Linked DNA regions of Arabidopsis thaliana. The protein of the gene in region 2 interacts with the protein of the main gene of each other region in a pairwise test. Each region holds a gene or a part of one and is shown on either strand. Other genes may lie near its edges.

What was found.
Region 1: the proteins of AT2G21230 (region 2) and GONST1 interact in a protein complementation assay, tested with the Arabidopsis thaliana proteins (one large-scale study listed by BioGRID).
Region 3: the proteins of AT2G21230 (region 2) and WAT1 interact in a protein complementation assay, tested with the Arabidopsis thaliana proteins (one large-scale study listed by BioGRID).

The regions. Positions count from the first base shown.
Region 1 is NC_003071.7:5,686,412-5,692,711, forward strand, and holds GONST1 (golgi nucleotide sugar transporter 1), read right to left. Parts: upstream 4,361-6,300; 5' UTR 4,120-4,360; intron 3,907-4,119; 5' UTR 3,893-3,906; coding exon 3,543-3,892; exon of another isoform or gene 3,299-3,542; coding exon of another isoform or gene 3,216-3,298; coding exon 3,086-3,215; intron 2,579-3,085; coding exon 2,480-2,578; intron 1,932-2,479; coding exon 1,777-1,931; intron 1,695-1,776; coding exon 1,578-1,694; coding exon of another isoform or gene 1,574-1,577; exon of another isoform or gene 1,425-1,573; coding exon 1,327-1,424; intron 1,226-1,326; coding exon 1,173-1,225; 3' UTR 905-1,172; downstream 1-904. Other genes in the region: AT2G13640 (Transcription factor IIS family protein), read right to left, coding at 1-879; AT2G13660 (uncharacterized protein), read right to left, coding at 5,881-6,206, 6,271-6,300. UniProt on the Arabidopsis thaliana protein: Involved in the import of GDP-mannose from the cytoplasm into the Golgi lumen. Required for the luminal synthesis of a variety of plant cell surface components. Is required for the correct mannosylation of the glycosylinositol phosphoceramides (GIPC).
Region 2 is NC_003071.7:9,092,443-9,098,729, forward strand, and holds AT2G21230 (Basic-leucine zipper (bZIP) transcription factor family protein), read right to left. Parts: upstream 3,906-6,287; 5' UTR 3,775-3,905; exon of another isoform or gene 3,627-3,774; 5' UTR 3,618-3,626; coding exon 2,491-3,617; intron 2,408-2,490; coding exon 2,275-2,407; intron 2,202-2,274; coding exon 2,099-2,201; coding exon of another isoform or gene 2,079-2,098; exon of another isoform or gene 1,732-2,078; intron 1,693-1,731; coding exon 1,478-1,692; 3' UTR 1,477-1,477; exon of another isoform or gene 1,165-1,476; intron 978-1,164; 3' UTR 694-977; downstream 1-693. Other genes in the region: AT2G21235 (Basic-leucine zipper (bZIP) transcription factor family protein), read right to left, coding at 4,150-4,490, 4,797-4,881, 4,980-5,112, 5,232-6,287. UniProt on the Arabidopsis thaliana protein: Transcription factor that acts as a repressor of reproductive development, meristem size and plant growth. Acts as a transcriptional repressor in inflorescence tissues.
Region 3 is NC_003070.9:28,337,020-28,342,309, forward strand, and holds WAT1 (Walls Are Thin 1), read right to left. Parts: upstream 3,257-5,290; 5' UTR 3,073-3,256; coding exon 2,858-3,072; intron 2,761-2,857; coding exon 2,698-2,760; intron 2,621-2,697; coding exon 2,504-2,620; intron 2,245-2,503; coding exon 1,824-2,244; intron 1,730-1,823; coding exon 1,578-1,729; intron 1,465-1,577; coding exon 1,263-1,464; 3' UTR 1,169-1,262; exon of another isoform or gene 763-1,168; 3' UTR 707-762; downstream 1-706. UniProt on the Arabidopsis thaliana protein: Required for secondary wall formation in fibers, especially in short days conditions. Promotes indole metabolism and transport (e.g. tryptophan, neoglucobrassicin and auxin (indole-3-acetic acid)). May prevent salicylic-acid (SA) accumulation.

The DNA.
Region 1 (6,300 bases), 3.4 Mb from region 2:
GCAGCGAGACACCTCTGGTTTACCTGAGAGAACACCCTTAGCGTTGGCCACATCAGCAGCTTTCTTTGCTGCTTCGAACAACTTCACCATCTCATCCACTTTCTTCTTCTTCAGCTCCTTTTCTGTTTTAGTCTTCTTTATCAATGAACCATCTTCATGTGGCTTCTTCGTTGTAACATCCTCCAAAGAGACACGCCTTGTCTTCATGTTGAGCTGCTTTAGATTGGTCTTTGTCTCTTTCTTAAAATATTTCTCGACACAAGTCTCAGATCTATGATCCTCTTTCTGTTTCAAAGCCAAAAAGCTGTTCCTTGCTTTATTCTTCTCTGTTTCACGAGTTAATGATCTCTGATCTTCTTTCCTATTCAACTCCGAGAGTTTGATCGTTGTCTTACTCTCTACTGCTTCAACAGTCGTCTGAGATCTCTCGTCTTCTTTATTCTTCAACACCGAAAAGGCAGTGACTTGACGAGCCATAGTTCCCGGTTCTTCTTTCTTCTTCAACTCCGAACACATTTTTAGAACATGCTTCTTCATCTTCAGACGATCTTTGGTAAGAGCAGCTGTGAAAGAGTTGTCGCTTCCATGTGCGTAGAATGTCTTCAACCATGAATGAAACAAGGCTTGGGCTTCCTTACGGATTCTAGGGTTCCTATGACTTCTCAAAGTCTCCAGTTTAACTATTGATTCAGACAATCGTATATCCTTCACGGAAAGAGACAGAGACTTCAAGTGATTCAACACATCGATGCATCGCTCGACTTCGCATGGGTTCCGTGTATTGTAAGTAGCCTTAATTGCAGCAGCAGTCAAGTCGCATAAGTCAGATCTCTCCTTCGCAATTCTCACTCTCATCATCTTTCCGTCGTTCTTGATCATCAGGTGGCTAGGGTTTTCAGTTTATGTTGAAATCTCATACCATTGAATTTCTTTACTGGAAAATTGGTAAAAACGAAGAAACACATAAACCAACACTTCTCTTACCACTCAAGAATCGATACATTCATTAATATTTTACTAACATTATACAAGTAGAGTGGCGAAAGCTTTTACAAGAAACACATAACGTGCATAGAATTCTGAGGTTATAAACTCATTGCTCTGCTTTAATCAGCTTTTGCCATGTCCTATACTGATTGATGTAGTAAAATGTGTTGTAGATGGTTAGTATTTTAGGACTTCTCCCTCATTTTGGCTCTAGCAAATACAACTCCAGCGACAAGACCTGCAAATTAGGCCACCTCAGGTTTAATAATAATACACAACACAAGCGATATGTGTTCCTTCAAGAAGTTGGAAAAGGGAACTGATCGAGAGAACGCTTACCAAAGAGTATGCTTGCTGAGTTCTGCAAACTGGTCGGTACATTGAAAAGAACGATCCCCGCGATGGATAGAGGTATCTTGTTTAGAGATCCCACCAGGCTATGATTTTGAATAAAGCGAAAGATGTATCTAGTTAGGACTGAACCAACAAAGAAGCAAACATAGGAAAGGGATATATGGAGAAGGCTAGGGGACAGCAACACTCTCTTAAGCAAAGTTTTGAAATTGCTCTATCTCTCTCTAATTTGCTACCTGTATGTTGTTGCTCCAGTTTGATGAAGAAACCACATTGAAGTAAAGCTAATGGCAAGCCCTAGAAGTCCACTAAGTGTCATGACCATCCAGAAACTTGGTAATCGTAGAAGTGGCCTGCACAAATATAATACACCATTTTGTTTTCAGATGACACAAACCATTTTCCATTGACACAGAAATAAGGACAGGAACTCACGTTTGATAGAGATAATCCATCTCGTTGAAGAAATAAGAAAGAAGAAGCCCAAGTGGTAATGAAAGTGTGTTATTAAGCAAGACCATGGAGAACTCGTTCAAGTTTCCAGATTGAGTAACCTGCTTGGCCGTATCCATGGTCTTTCTCAAAGTCAGCTGCAAAACAACAAAATATAAGGCAAGTCAAAAGTGGTGGCAAATTTTATAAGAGTATAGTAGCCTAGCTAACAAGCCAAACACTTGGTTTTTGTTGACAGGATATAGGGATAAATTTATGGGAACCTAACAGTCTAACACTCTCGTTTTTTGACCCAGCAATGGAAAACCTAGTGAGAACTGAGAAGTTGATGGTGTCAATTTGCATTCTTTGCCCAAAGTCTTCTCTTTAACATGCTATTCCTACTTCTAACAACGAGTGAAGTACTCAGGTTACCAGTGACAATGGATTGCAAGCTATAAAATTTTCTAAGGTAACAGAATCTCGGTATCTCGTGAGCATCTTAAAACTCAAAAGCAAGCCAGTATCGTAATGATTATAGGGAAGGCTGTTTAGTTTATTGACTTAGTCTTAACCAAACAGCATGTAATACTCGACATGAAAGCATGGTTTTTAAGTGATCTCCTTTTCATATATGTGTTTATTGTTTCAAATGACTCCTAACATTTTGGGAAAAGAAAACACAAATGATCAAATGTTTACTCACCGAGTACGATGCAGTTAAGAAGCAATTAGCAATCTGCCAAGCATAGCCAACAGCATTGAATGATAGGTCTGTTATTCCTCCAGAAACTGCGGAAATTATCTGCAAATGAAGGACGAAAGAAGCACAGGTTAATCAAAACTTTATCCTCTACTTATTCAAGATCTATACAAAAACAAATAGAATATACATATAACAATGAGTAGCCGTGACAAAAAAACATGATTACATTTCCCTGGCAGACTAATTGTGGAAGCAGTTAAAAACATGTATCTCCAACAGTATTGAAAGGTTAGGCTATGCCACACCACTGAAAGCCGCTACGACAAGTGTAACTGTGTACGCACACAAAAGGGTGGATCACTTATCAATAAGAAGATATGCTTTAGACTTTATTGGTTAAGGTTGATGATCAGAGAGTGCTTTGAGAAAACAAGAGAAAACCAAATCCAAAACAGTATAGAATCGTTGTTTGACAAGGATATCTTTCAAAAACTCCAATCAAAATGCTATCTATGTGCAGCTTGAAATAGGTTCCTTGAGAATAGTTTTTTCTCAGGTACAATTTACAGAATCAGTTAGAAATACTTTTAAAGCAGACAAACATACCATTAAGAAGAGAGCAGCCCACACTCTGTTGTCATGTTGCTTGTTGAACAGATACATCTCACCAACTGCAGTTATCACATTAGTGACATTCTTCAGGACAGTGACCATTGCTACATTGATGTATTTCAAACTGTCAAAGAAAATGTAATTCAAATAGACAATCAAGTTCAATCTGCTCTTCAAACACCGCCTACATACACATATACGATACATATCTATATATCTCGACCTACTGTGAAGTAAATCCAAAATATCTATCTGTTTCACCTAAGTGTCTACACGTTATTTAATCCTCGATCTGCTGTAAAGATGATGTACAGATTCTTATAACTACCTTTAGTACTCCAAAAAGTTGACTTTACTAATTTAGTAATCTTATAGGCTTGAGAATTAAGAGAGCATCGATATATAATTCAACAAACCAACACAAAATAAAGGTGTAGAAACACATTCTTACCTAAACATGCTTGTGATAAGCATACCAACAAAGATGACATTCACTGGAAACCAGACCTTCATCAACCTCAAAGTAAGTGGTTCAGTAGTTATTAGACCCATTAAACTCAAACCAACCACAATGATCACCGAGACAAAGTTCTGGTATAACATAAGGAAGATCCCAGCATTGAAGTTGTAGCTGGAGAGAACAAACTTGTTGACAAGTATCATACTGCATGATGAAATGCAATAAGCTAAACCGGATAACAAAGCCCGGTTATGTATCTTTCTTGGAATTGGTTTATCTCCTCCGGATTTTACTGTCTTCCCATCTTCTAAATCAACTCCATCGTGTTCGTACAATTTCATTGCAAAGCTAAGACCTACCAAAGAAACTAACTTCTTTCAAGCTTATATAACTAGATCCATCATTCTTAACAATACACGCACAAAAAAAGTAACAGTTTTACATAAAAACCAATTCGGTTCCAATTCGCAGCTAAAATCAACTTAAGACGAGATTGGATCAAGCAGCAAAGTTGAGAGTAGCTACACAAGCGTTAATCGGAAGTTGTGTAGAGAATAACGAATTTTACCTCGAAGTTGTCCAAAAGCTCGCGAACTAAAGATTCAACTTCGGACGAGATCTAATTGATGACAAGTTACCGGAAAAAAAAAAAACTATGAATCGGAAGAAGAAGAAGAACATGAAACTTGCTCACGCGGAGGATCTTCGTCAGGTCGTGGTGGAGCTATCTGTGAAATGTTGTTTTGAAGAAACAATGGAAATTAGGAAACTGAAAAGACGAGGGAGAGAGATGGCATTGACCAGAAGAGAAAAAAAAAAAAAAAACTGACCAATTTTCGTTTCTTTCGTTTGTTTATTTATATTAAAATTAAGAGTTTCGTAAGTTAGAGGAAGTTCCATTATGTAAAACAAAATAAATTTTCTCAGTGGGTATTTCAAAATTGACAAACTCATCAACTACTCATGTCAAACATGTCTAAATGAATAAATAAAACTAGTATGTATTTCTTGAAATTAAAAATTATTCCAAAGCGAAAAATAGCCTTTTATCTATAAATACAGAATAATATTGATCATTTTTAAGACAATAAAACAGAATAATACTGATCATATACAAATAGGCCATATACAAATATGTCATAACTATACTAAAATTTAAGAAAATATTAGCTATTTAATACTATCAAACAAATCTCTTCATTGAGGTCATTCAACACAAACATTGTTATTTATAAAAAAAGAACACAAACTTTGTTTGGAGTAACTTTGACAGTTACACGTTAAATATGTTCTCTCCTAAGGTATTGAGCTTATGATGTTATTTTGTTAATTTTCATCATTTTATAGTTATTGGTTATTATATAAATCTCTTATATATTGAGAAGAAATAATAATATAAACATAAATTATCTAATTTAGTTATAATGGTTTGGTACCATATGGTCCAAATCACACAATATGTTGTACAATTTGCTTTTTTGGAAAAATGTCATTTAAATCAGTAGTTTACTATTTTTGTTGATTTAAACTATGAGTTCTGTATCTGGTAATTTAAATTCTCAATTTTTATGTTGATTTTCAATTTAATCACGAATTTTCGTTAATTAAGCAAATTGAGGCACAATTTTTTCTCTTTCGCACCATCAATCGACATAGAGATAAGAGATTATTTTGAATTTAAAGAAGAAGAAGGAATCAAAAAAAGGAAAGAATTCAAAAAAGAAAAGAGGGAAAAATGAAAATCGATTTTGGATTCTAGTGTTTATGATTTAAGAAATTTATAATGATGCGTCTTAATTAGTTTAATCAGTGAGAATTCGTATTTAAATTGATAGTCAGTGCAAAAGTGTACTACTGTTATGTGTCTCTAAACTTGGCAATTTGACACAAAATCTGAATGAATAAAAATAAAAGTTTGGCAATAATGGTCCATTTGCCTTTTTGCTTTGTACCATACCGTTGACCTTTCGGCTTAATTCTTTCCACCAGAAATTTTAGCCTATCTATTTTGACTCTTTGACACAGTCCACTTCTAAATCCACTAGCCATAGCCCAAGTTACTCGAGCACGTAAAATAAAATCCTTTAGGCCCAAAAGAACCAGTGTAGCCAAACGCATGACCATTTTGTTTTTTCCGTAACGCATGACAATTTTTATAACAAAAATATATTCACACTCTAATGTTAACGACACTCATCTTGTTCTTGAGAACAAATAGTTGAATATCATTTTCGTATTATAACATTTAATGAAAAGAGTTTTCTATCTCTTCTCTCTTTCATATCTTTTACAGAGAGGGAGCTCTGTTTTTCTTTTGTAATCTCCGTCTTCAATCAGAGCTTTTTGGTTTGTGTTTTAGATTTCCTGTTTTGATGCCGGTTTCTCTTTCCGACTTGTTCGGATTTACTTTCTTTCTTTCTCTTTTGGTTGCCTTTTGCAGGCTCAAATTAACTCTTCCAATTTCGGGAAGATGAAAATTCCAGAAGTCATCAAATGGATCCTTGTTCATTGAGTGCTTGATTCTTCTCCCAAGTGAAGGTAATTCCTTGCTCCGCCAAAAGGGCTTGTTTAGAGCATCGGTTCTCCTTGGTGGATTGATCAAGTTGATGCGGTTGATTGGGACGGAGTATGAAGAATTGGAGTCTTCGTCTTGTTCTGATGAATATTTCGGGCTAATCGGCTGAGGTTACAAATTCTCGTGATCAAGTTTAGGTCCAACCAATCTCTTCTGGTGATCTATGGCAAAAGG
Region 2 (6,287 bases):
GAGAGTAGCTATCGATTTTTTTGCAGAATCTATCGTTTTCGTCCCATTCCGTACACGTTTTTGTGTGTGCTTTTATTTTTGTTCTATTGATTTTCTTTTTGAAGGTGCACCAGTTCCCATATCAGTTGTTACTGACCAGATACCCTAATAACTATTGCGCCTTATTTTGTATCTAAATCTTGTGGACTTTGACTTCACATTGGGATAGTTATGTGATTTGGCAAATTAATTGAATTTTTATTACGTGGTTTGGCGAAATAAGAAACATTTTGAATGGTTTGACAAACATAACTTGTTAAAATTACCTTAAATAAAAAGAGTGCATTGATCATGTAACCCATGGTTTTGGTGATTGAAGCTTCTTGTAGCGTGTACACCTTTGCAGACCACTAGATGATCTTAGTGTTAACGATTTAAACATACTCAATCATTCAATGCTCCATTTGTGATGACAGAAGAATCATATCCATATTATTCAGATTCAGAATCAGAAGGAGAAGAAGATAGAGACGACGATTGGAGTTATGTGAAAGCAATGTGCATGTCATTTGTTTTGTTGGTCAACCTTAGATAATCTATTCGTTTATGCTCTTTTGATATGTACCCTTTTCATTTTACATATTTTAATAAAGTAAGTTTTGTTTCAAATCAACCTTTAGACGCTTAGAATTCAATATTTGATTGGCGAGAAGAATTCAATAATGACTACAAACATGGACTGTGAACATAAAGGCTATTAGAATATGTGAAAGAAGTTTGTAACCCCGAGAGACGAATACGATCAAGATATGTGAACTGATGTTTTGTAACCGCCTTTGAGCATCTTTACGTTCAGATGCTGGATTGGGTACAAGACCCCTTCCTATATATATGTGAACTGATTGGCATGTTCTTTTCGTTGAGCTTCTTCATCATTGTTTTCAACTTCATTTTCTTCACAATCCATTTTTTCAGAAAAGCAATGGGCCTGAAACTCTCTTTTGAAATTTATTTTATGTAAGCCATCACTCCCAGTTGTATCCAATCCATCATTCTATTTTACTTTAATAAGATTCAAGAACATGTTGAAAGATCCTACTGTAATAAAAATCCATAAAGACTACAGGAGGAGATGAAGCTGGAGAGAAGTAGTCTAAGCGAGAGAAGCAATTTCACAGCATTTGACTCTGTTAAAACGATTTAGATCCAGTAATATTTATAAACCTTAAAAATTGTCTCATAGATTATCCAAAATCCAAAGGGAAATAAAATCCTAACTGTGTAAATATATGACCAAAACAACATAAGATCACCTGGTCCAGAAAGAAAGTCCTCCATTACCACTATATATATGTGTGTATGTTTCAGGAAATATGATCAAATTTCCCGGACATAATCTTTATATATGTTTCTTTAAAACTTCCAAAAACAGAACTCTGCACAAAAGATTCTTATCATATATGTAACTAGACAACTGCGGATCGCAGTTTTACTTACCCTAGTCGTTTGAAGTGTGCTTTGCTTTCATTGTGCTACACTGATTGGAATGCTGCATCTGTTGGTGTTGTAACTGACTTATGCTAAGCTGCTGAAACATCTCCGGGTTTAGTGACATCTTTGATTCGCTGCTGCTGCTCCCACTTTGCCTGCGGTTCGGCTCCCCTATCACCAGTTTCAACCGCTGGACTTCTTCATTCAGTTTCTCTGACAGAGCTGCCAAACAAGGAATATCAAAATGTTACCTCTCTAGGAGAACTTACAAAAAATCAAGAAACGTGGTAGCTAAATTCTCCGGAGAGATCAAATCTTTTAATAGAGTAAGTTAAACAAGAGACATATTTAGCGGTAAGGATGGATAAAATTCGGGTGCAATCTTGCGGCCATGAGCTAAATAATCAAGGACAAGGTTCAGGTTTTTCCATACATAGAATACACAAACATTGTTCCTACTCAAGGCTGGGGAAACCGAAAAGGGAAAGTTCTTACGGTAGAAGAAAATCGTCTATGGAAAGTAAAACAAAGCATTCGGATAAGGACAAGACACTGACTTGGTTCCATCGAGTTCGAATACAAAACAATCCTAAAGCGACTCAGCAACCCTAATTTTGAGAATGAATACTTTTGATAATGTGCATACCATCGCGGAGTTGTGCTTGCTGCTCCATAGCTTGAAGACGAAACTTCAGCTCACTGTTCTGGTTTGTCAACCCCATAGAATCTCTCTGAGCCACCAAAGGAAACAATATAAGACTACAGACTTATTCAAACATGATAGTTTGTTGTTTTGTCTCGCACCTGCAAATGTGTGAGCTGAGCCGATAATGTAGTAGCTTCAGTCTGAAGTGTCTGCACCTTGTGTTCCAACTCTGCCATGTATCGCGTCTTCCGCTCCTTTGAACGTGCAGCAGATACGCGGTTCGCCAAGATTCTAACGAGATGGTTAAATCAAAACAGTCAAGTCACAACAACAACAACATCAAAATGTCTAATGAAGCATCACTATTTTATTACCTTTTAACACGCTTAGGGTCAGCCATTACAATCTCAGCGAGTTTCTCATCAGCTGCAATCTTCTTCATTTCAGCTGCAGTAAACTCACTGTTTCCAAATTCAACACTATAAGCACTTGAATTCCCTTCACCTGAATTGGTTGGGGAAACTTTAGCTGATGAAGAAGGCGGAAGCTTTAGCGATGATTCGTCGCCGAAATTCAACTTCCCCATGAAACAACTGTCCATAGAAACACTCCTGTAATGTCTACCAGTAGGAGCAATATCTCCACCTGCTCTTCTCTTCACGCCTGAAGAAGAAGAACTCAACGCAACCTTCACATTCCCACTCGCACTGCTATCTCCTTCAGAATCACTACTACTTCCACCATTCGTCTTCTTTGTACCACTACCTCTACTACTCTCCATCTCCTCCACATTCTCATTCCCATTCTTGCCATCTTCACCTCCAAAAGAATTCAAGACATCAATGTTATCAAGATTCATATAAGCCGTGAAAACATCGTCCATAGCTGCTTCAACCTCTGGTTTTCTTCCCTTGTAGAAGCCTTCTCTCGGTTCTTTCTTCACCAAATTAGACCAATCTGATGTATCTTCACCAGAGATCGATCTCTCCAAAGAACTCAAAGGAGGAGACTTTTGATTCTGAGACATCATTGAACTAAACCCAAAAGTAACATCACTATTCGAACGCCTATGCGACTTTCTCGGAGGTAGATTCTCTCCATCTCCGGCGTTCCTAGAGCTAGAAGAATGACACATCGTAAACGGTGACGGAGGCAACGAAGGACTAAATCCGGCACCGGTTTTCTCCTCCACCGACACCGAAACCGACGGAGCAGAAGGATTTAACGGCGGCAATGAATCAAAGGAGAAGAAAGAAGACGGTTGCGACATAGAGCGAGAATGTCTAGGTTGTAAAGTCGCCGGGATCTGAGAGTAAGGAGAAATGGGTGGAATCGGCGGTGGAGGAGCTCCGGTGAAAGGGTGACGGAAGTGATGGTGAGAGCGGATAAGAGCAGGATTCAAGTGAAGATTGTGTTTAGGGATCGAAGAAGACGATGTACCAGAAGAAGAATTAACTCTCTGCATCATATTGGTATCTGTTGTATCACCACCACCACCCATTTTGATTTTCTGAGATTCCGAACAAAAATAAAAGTCAGAAACTTTGAAGAAGAACCAAAACCCTAACTAAAGTTTGATCCTTTAGCTGGAGATTTCAACAATAATTGATTTCCCCCAAATAGAGAAGATAAATCTATTAGAAAGAAAGAAATTTGACCTGAAATGGGGAAGTGAATCTCTCTCTCTCTGTGTTTTCTTCAGCAATCAATGGCGAAAATAGCGAAAGAAGGAAGGAACTAAAAGAAAAAACGATTCTTTTGAAACGTTGACCAAAGCAGCAATCATCCACTGGTCGGAAAAGACTACTTTCGTCTAATTACATATAGAGTATGTTTATTTCTCTATCAAATTCAACAAATTTGATAAAATAAAAATTAATCTCAATAACAAAAAAATGAAAGAACAAAGCTTTAATGAAATAAACTAAACAAAAATATTAAAAAAAAATCATATTGTCTGAACCCTCTCACGGTTACAAATTTATAATCATATATAGATAAATCTAAAACAACTTGAAGACATGTTTAATCCTTTAGTTATGTCCATAAAATTCATGGTTTGGTTGCTCATGATTAAACTCGTTGACATTGCATTGCTCTTTGAATATGTTTGGGTCCAATTGCTGGTGCTGATTGAACTCATAGGTGTTGAGTTGCGGCTGGAACACGTTTTGGTCCGATTGATGCATGGTTGAACCCTCGAACTGGTTGGGATTTTTCATCCCCTGACCAGTTGCTACTTTAAATCGGTTGATTTCAGCAAGGAGCTCTTCACTTTGTTTCAGTTGTTTCAGTAGTTGAGAATAGTCGACACTCCCTCGTTCATTTGCCTCCTTTTCTAGCCTTCGGAGTTCATCTAATTGTTTAGTTAAAGCTACAAAAACAAAAAAAATGAAAGCTTATATATCTTCTTCAGTCACCGAGCATGGATATTTTTTCAAATAAAAAAACGATGGTACGATGAAGGATCTTGTTAGGAACCTCATATAAAAATGATTTACATACTAGTTAGACATCAAGTTTTCGATATAGCAGAAAAAAATAAACGTATTTCACAGTTGAAGATTTGGTAAAAACTTTGGTAAAAAAAAAAGGAAAAAAAAAGGAAAAAAAAAAAAAGATTTGGTAAAAACTCATTCAAAATTCTTTTTATGAAGAGAAATATGTGGCTAAAACGTACCAGTAAGAAGAGGGGCCTGTTGCTCTAGTAATTGAAGTCGAATCTTCGCTAACTTATTCTCGTTCATCATCACTATGTTTTCCTTCTGCATGCAACAACAATAGTTTTGTTTAAACAAATTCCCTATAGAAGAAACTTAGACATGACAAGTAGATGGTTGATATTGTGATATATATGTCTCACCTCCAAAAGTGTCATCGTTCCAAACAGTGAAGCTTGAGTGTTTTCAAGAGTTTCTACTCTGAGTTCCATATCACGAATCTTCTTTTCCCGATTCTCCTTAGAACGTGCAGCTGAGGCTCGGTTTGCCAACATTCTGAAAGAGCATCAATATGAATAAATAAATGTCAACAACCATACATCACAAAAGATAATAATAAAATATATTAAAGAAAAAATATTGTTCCCTAATATAAGTCACCCAGTCTTGCTTACCTTTTATATTTCTTAGCATCATTTGCACCTCCCGAATCAGTATTGGTTATCATCAAAACATCAGCATTCCGATTCTGATCACTATTGTTAACAGCACTTTGGTTAGGCATGATCATATACTCAGAGCAGAATTCCTTCATTGCTTCCTCATTATATATGAGCTTTCCAAATCCGCCTTCCTCGCCGCGGCTTGAGTCCCCAACCAACATACTTGATAGCTCACTGTTGGTCCTTTTATGATACTTTCTAGGCCTGCTACCGGAGACTTTCGCAGAGTTGGACCTCGTGACTGGAACCCGAGGCTGAGGATGCAACGGGGGACGGTTAGACATTTCCTCCAAATGTGCTGATGGAGATGGGTGACCCGGCGGAGATGATCTCACCATCGGATTAGAGGAGTAGACAGGCGCCGGCGGTAAGACCGAAAGCACAGGCGACCTATGAATCAACGACCCTTTTCCGCGGTTGGAGCGGGGAAATGAATCACGACCGAACAACGGCGGAGCAGAGCTGGCCGGTGCTATGGATGAGAACACAGGGGAAGGCTGAGGGATCGACCATGTTCCGGTGTTGGAGTGAGAAAATGAGTCTGGACCGAACGACGACAGAGCAGAACTGGCCGGTGCTATGGATGAGAACACAGGGGAAGGCTGAGGGATCGACCATGGTCCGGTGTTGGAGTGAGAAAACGAGTCTGGACTGAACGACGACGGAGTAGAGCATGATGAAGGACTCGTCTGGGGAAAGTAGAAGCTAGACGACGAAGCAGAGCTCACCGACGCCTTTGAGTTATGGGACGACGACGGCGTAGGAATCATTTGGTGAATGTTGGAGAAGCTAAACGAAGGTGTAAAGCTTGCCGGATTATTGAATGACGTCAGTGAAGGACTCGCTTGAGTGAAGTCGGAGAAGGTAGGGGACGGTTGAGTCGTACACCGTGGTCCGGGGCTGAAGTCCGGCGACCCGGCTGGATAACGGATCAGTGGTGGTGACAGAGAAGTCCGGGAAGAGAGTGACACGCCGGTGCTCTGGCCACCATCATCAGTACTGAAAGGA
Region 3 (5,290 bases), on a different chromosome or scaffold from region 2:
CTATTCTCTTGGTTTTCTTTGCATCTTCTTCTTAGCTTCTCTTTGTACTAACGTGTAATCCTCGCGAGTCTTGATAGACTATATGGCGTGGTTTATAACAAACCTGGCCCGTTTATTCCGGCCCAACATCATTATATCTCGGCTTATATATGGTCTCCAGTCTCCAATAACGGGCTATATATGATTTAACTAATGGATTCAAATACGAAATCTTGAATCCACATGGTAGACTAACCTATGCCAGATAACGATTATGAGACAAAGTCGCTTATGCACTGTGTTTTTCCTTATGTATATGAATTTCTTTTGTTAATGAAATTTATTTGTATAAGGTAAATAAGATATGAAATTCTGTTAATGAACTTCTTGTTTACATCAAATTAAAAGATGATATTTTATATGTAAAAAGCTGACGTGTAAGCTGATCCGAGAAAACCAAGAAAGATAATGTAGAGCATTGAAGTGTATATGTGAAATTTTTAACACGTTCTCCTTAAAATAATGCTTTTATCCGTCTATTTCAAACAAAATTCTAATATTGGACCAAAAATTATATATCGAACAACACATCTTTCTCAAGTTAGCTAAACTTTAATACCATGTTAAAATCTATGGACTTTCAACTCAAGAATTGGTCCATACTATAACTTAGTTGGTCCATATTATATTATATATATTAAATGTTGGTTTATTTTTAACTTGTTCATTCGGTTAAGAATTTTTATTGGATATTTGATAATAAACTAAATTTGTAAAAAAAAACTGTTTCTTTAAGAGATCATTTTAATCAAATACTAAAGATCTTTTTTTACTTCAGTTCAGAACAAAGCGTTTGATCTAATCCATTTTAAACATCCCCGACAGTGATAATTACTAAAGATCATAAATGCAAATTATAACATTCTATTGATGATAAAGGAAAGAAAAACCCCACAAGAAATGTAAGAAAAAATGGCACTAATATATCAGCCAGATATTATATATAGAAAAGTCTCAATCCAAAGCTCCCACATAGTCTTCTTCATCACTATCATCATCATCATCATCCTCATGAACAATGATGTCTCATCCACCATTTTTTTTCCTTTCTTCAAAAACCTTTCTTAGGTAATTAATAATTTTTTAGAAAAAAAAAAGAAGAGAAAACACTAAGAAAAAAAGCAGACACAAAAGTCATAAAACACAACGGCACACCATTGTTCCCTTTTAATTGGGTAATGGCATTTGTAATTATTAGCTGGAGAGTGATTTGTCCAAAGTAGTCAAACATTGTCCGTTGACTGATGGAGTAGTGGTGTTGTGATGGACGACTTGATGGAGTTGCGAGAAACAGGTGCACGTTCAATACCATGCTCCGCGGAGGACTGGATCGCTGCCTTCTCAAGCGCTGCAAATTTCCTCTCTTCGCTCTTACCGTACAATACGAAGTAAAGTCCCGCTATGATCAAGACCGCTCCAATAATCCTGCCATTAGAAATATGACATGTGGCACAACAAATTTTAAAATTATTCTTGTTTAGGACCTTGGATTTTATCAAGTATTTATATAAACCACTAATATTATTATAGTTTCATACCCGCCCAAATAAAATTCTTCGCCTAACGCAATAGAAGCCATGATCGCAACGACAAGAGTCTGAACAGGCTGGTAAACAGCAACGAAGACTGGACCCCCTCTGTCAATACACCAAATCTGAACCGCAAACGCGATTCCAGACGCTACGATTCCCTGAAGTTAAATCAATTCATTAGGACCAAATTGATTATTTTGAAACATTAGGGCCAAAAACGAATTAATTATAACAGATGAAAGAAAAACTAACGGCGTAGAGGATGGTGAAAAGCTCCCAACCGGAGTGAAAAACCCAAGCCTGAGAATCTCTTTCACAGAAAGCAGCAATGATCAAGAACTGAATGATTCCGAAGAAACAAGTGTAAGACGTAACCGAGAGCCTCGCTGGATAAGACTTAAGAACCGGAGCTTGGAAAACAAGCCAGCCTGACCACGAGAGACAGTGACCGATTAGGTAGATGCAACCAAGGGTCCAGTTTTTAGGCGCGGCGTTTCCTAGCGGCGCTAAGACGGCGGAGTTTGTGGTGAGTAGATGAGCGTGGAGGTGGCTAGCCGGAGTGTAGATGGTTGGACCTTTATAGAGGGTGATGACGGAAGCTCCGGCGACACAAAGAGCTGTTCCTAAGATTTTGGAGATACCGTCTCTTCTGTTTATTCTTACTTTCTCAATCCTGAATTATTGTTTTTTTCACATACAGTACATAAACAGTATGTTACATTGTTGTTACTACTATGATTATCACTATTTTGTAAGCAAATGGAAACGGCATTAAATATTGTCTACGTGTATTATTATCCGTTTCTTTTACGTTGAAAAGTCAAATGGACATTATTAAAGTGGTTCTTGTATATCCAAGCTGTCCAAAATATTGTTATTTATTTTTATAAATCAAAAGAGAATGAAAATGGAGAGATGTGTAGAGTAAGTGCCTGAGAAGAGCAGCCATGAGAAAGGTAATGGCGGGAACAGAGTTTTGCATGGAGGAAGCAAATGTTGGTGAAGTGTTGTCCAGTCCCAACAAGTAAAATCCTTGGTTCGCTGTTATTCTGTCGTGTAATAATTCATTAACTAATTATCCAAATTTGTTATTGAAAAGATCAGAGTGAAGGATATAAATATATACCCTATGAGTGCCAAAAAGAAGAACTGGATGAGAAAGTTGAGAGTAATCGCTGGTCTCTCCTTCCTAAATTAACACAATTAAGTTTGGTAATTAAATAACTAGCAACTAGAGAAAAAATAGGGTTTTCAAATAAAGAAGTGAAGTGAAAATAGAAGGTTACTTTTCAAGGAAGTAAGCGAAGGGAAGGAGAAGAAGCAAGGCGATGATGTTACGATAAACAGGGAAGACGAGTTTGCTGATTCCCATGTTAAGAGCAGCTCGAGACACCACGTGGAATCCGGCGTAACCGAATTGCAACGTCAGCATCGCTATGTGAAGCTGAAGCTTCTCCGGAACTCCCCATAAGGATCTCCGATTATCGGTGTTATCCGCCATTGGATCGAGCTTAACAATCGATCAACGAAGGAAAAAGGCTGTGTGTGTGTGTGTTTGTGTGTGTTGATTGAGGAAAAGAGTGAAGTTGCGGAGATATAAATATAGGTAGATAGCAATCTCATTCCCCTCTTTGCTTGTGGGAACCACCATACTGAGATTTCTAATATGGTATCTATTAAACCTAATTATAACAATGTGAAATATTGAAATATATATATATATATATATATATGGATTTAGGTATATTAATGAGTTTTTGTTGTTTCCTATCATTTGATGTACACACCAAATATTGTTACTTTGGTCTACTGGCAGCATTCACTCCTTGATTATGATTTTTGAATTGGGAAATAAAATTTTAATTTATATTATTATTTCTCTATTGGGTTATATCAAGTATGATAATAATATAGGTTACTTTTTGTTTTACTATTATTACGTTCATTATTATTTTGTTTACAAAGCACACACACAACATAAATATATTTCAGGGAAAATCGCAAAAGGAGAAAGAAAAACTCAACGTATGATAGTTTTACCTAAGAAATATGATTTCTTTTGAGATATTAAAATAAACGATTGTGTTTTCGGATTTTCTTGGAAAAAAAAGACTCTTGAATTGAAAACTATCATACACTATTCTACTTAGCCTTATTGGAAACTATGACCACGTAAACAAAGTCGGGTTAAACTTATAATCAAACACGTTCACATGCACTTACCGTTACCAAAACGAGATAATAAAGTGACAACGTCTCACTAAGTCACAACTTCACAAACATTTTGTGGATGTTGGTACATCTCATATGTTTTAAAATCAAAATTTGAAGACATTCCCAAAATTTTGGACACTATATTTAACATTTATCATCAGCTTTTGTTTCACAACATGATACATTGTTAGTTAATTATATGCTTTCAAAACAACCAACTTTTCATTTATTGATTTCTAACAAGAAGAAACGACTATGAAGCTGTTGGTTAAATCTAAATCGATTAAACAAAGGGCCCGCAAATTTTTAACTGTGTACTATAGTGTTTTTAGAAAATAAAGAAGAGAGCTTAAAAATGTGTAAAAGGGCAAAGCCTGTCTCCCACATTCTTTTATTTTTCTGCTGTTTAGCTGACATGACAACCCTCACGCCACTACTCATTAACGCAACCATCATTATGATTCTTAATTTTTTGTATATCTAAAATCATTTAATTCTGAAAATCAAAAAGGTAAAAATAACAATAGAAAAAGCACAAAATATATCATTATTTACGACTCTATTCCTCAATTTGCACTCACTATCGTAGACATTATAATGGTTTTAGTTTGTCCTTTCCTTTGATATTTATTGAGCAGCATGGCATTGCTACTAATTATTACTTGTACAGTATAGTCTTCAGGAGAATAACACTCTTAATTATAAATGTACGACATTTCGTTTTAACATCTTTTATTTACTTTCTTTTTTGGTAAATATATTTCTTGATTTTATTTATGTTACATAATTAATTTTGTAGGGACGAGCCCCACGCGCACTGCCGAACCGTGAGACCCACAGTACCTCTTATTTCGCAGGCACACCCACACGATCAATATTTATGTACACGCTTACACCAATATTATTATCTGTATTTGTCCTCAATTATTTTAGTTTTATTTTTCTTGTTAATTTATTTTAGTTCTATTTTTTTGTGCTCATCGAATAGACGTGTGTAATTGTTTTCCAATAGTCAAATACATTTGTATCCCTATAGAATAGAATCATCGAAAATTTTATGGTTGCTTGCTTGTATATGCTTTCATTTTTCTCTTTCTTTTTGTCTTGTTATTTTTGGAGAGATCGACAATGTAAACCCAGAGAAACCAATTTAGTAAATTGTACACAGAAACATGTGCATATCCACGTGAAAACAAACCAAATATGTATTTTTCTTTCCTTCCACGAATGTATCACGACAAAAGAAATATCATGGCAAAAATTGTTCATGGAATATTATTTTGTCACAAATCTGTTTTAGATAAACTATATGCAGCAACATGTAAAACATAACAAAATATAACAATATGGAATTTTCATTACTTCATTATATTCCATTTCTATTACAAAAATCTTTTTTTTTTATGAACAATAACAAAGATATTTACCTTAACATTTTAATACATCTAGTTAAACTTAGTTATACTTTCACGTTACACTAATTTATCTAATTGCTCTATTTTATA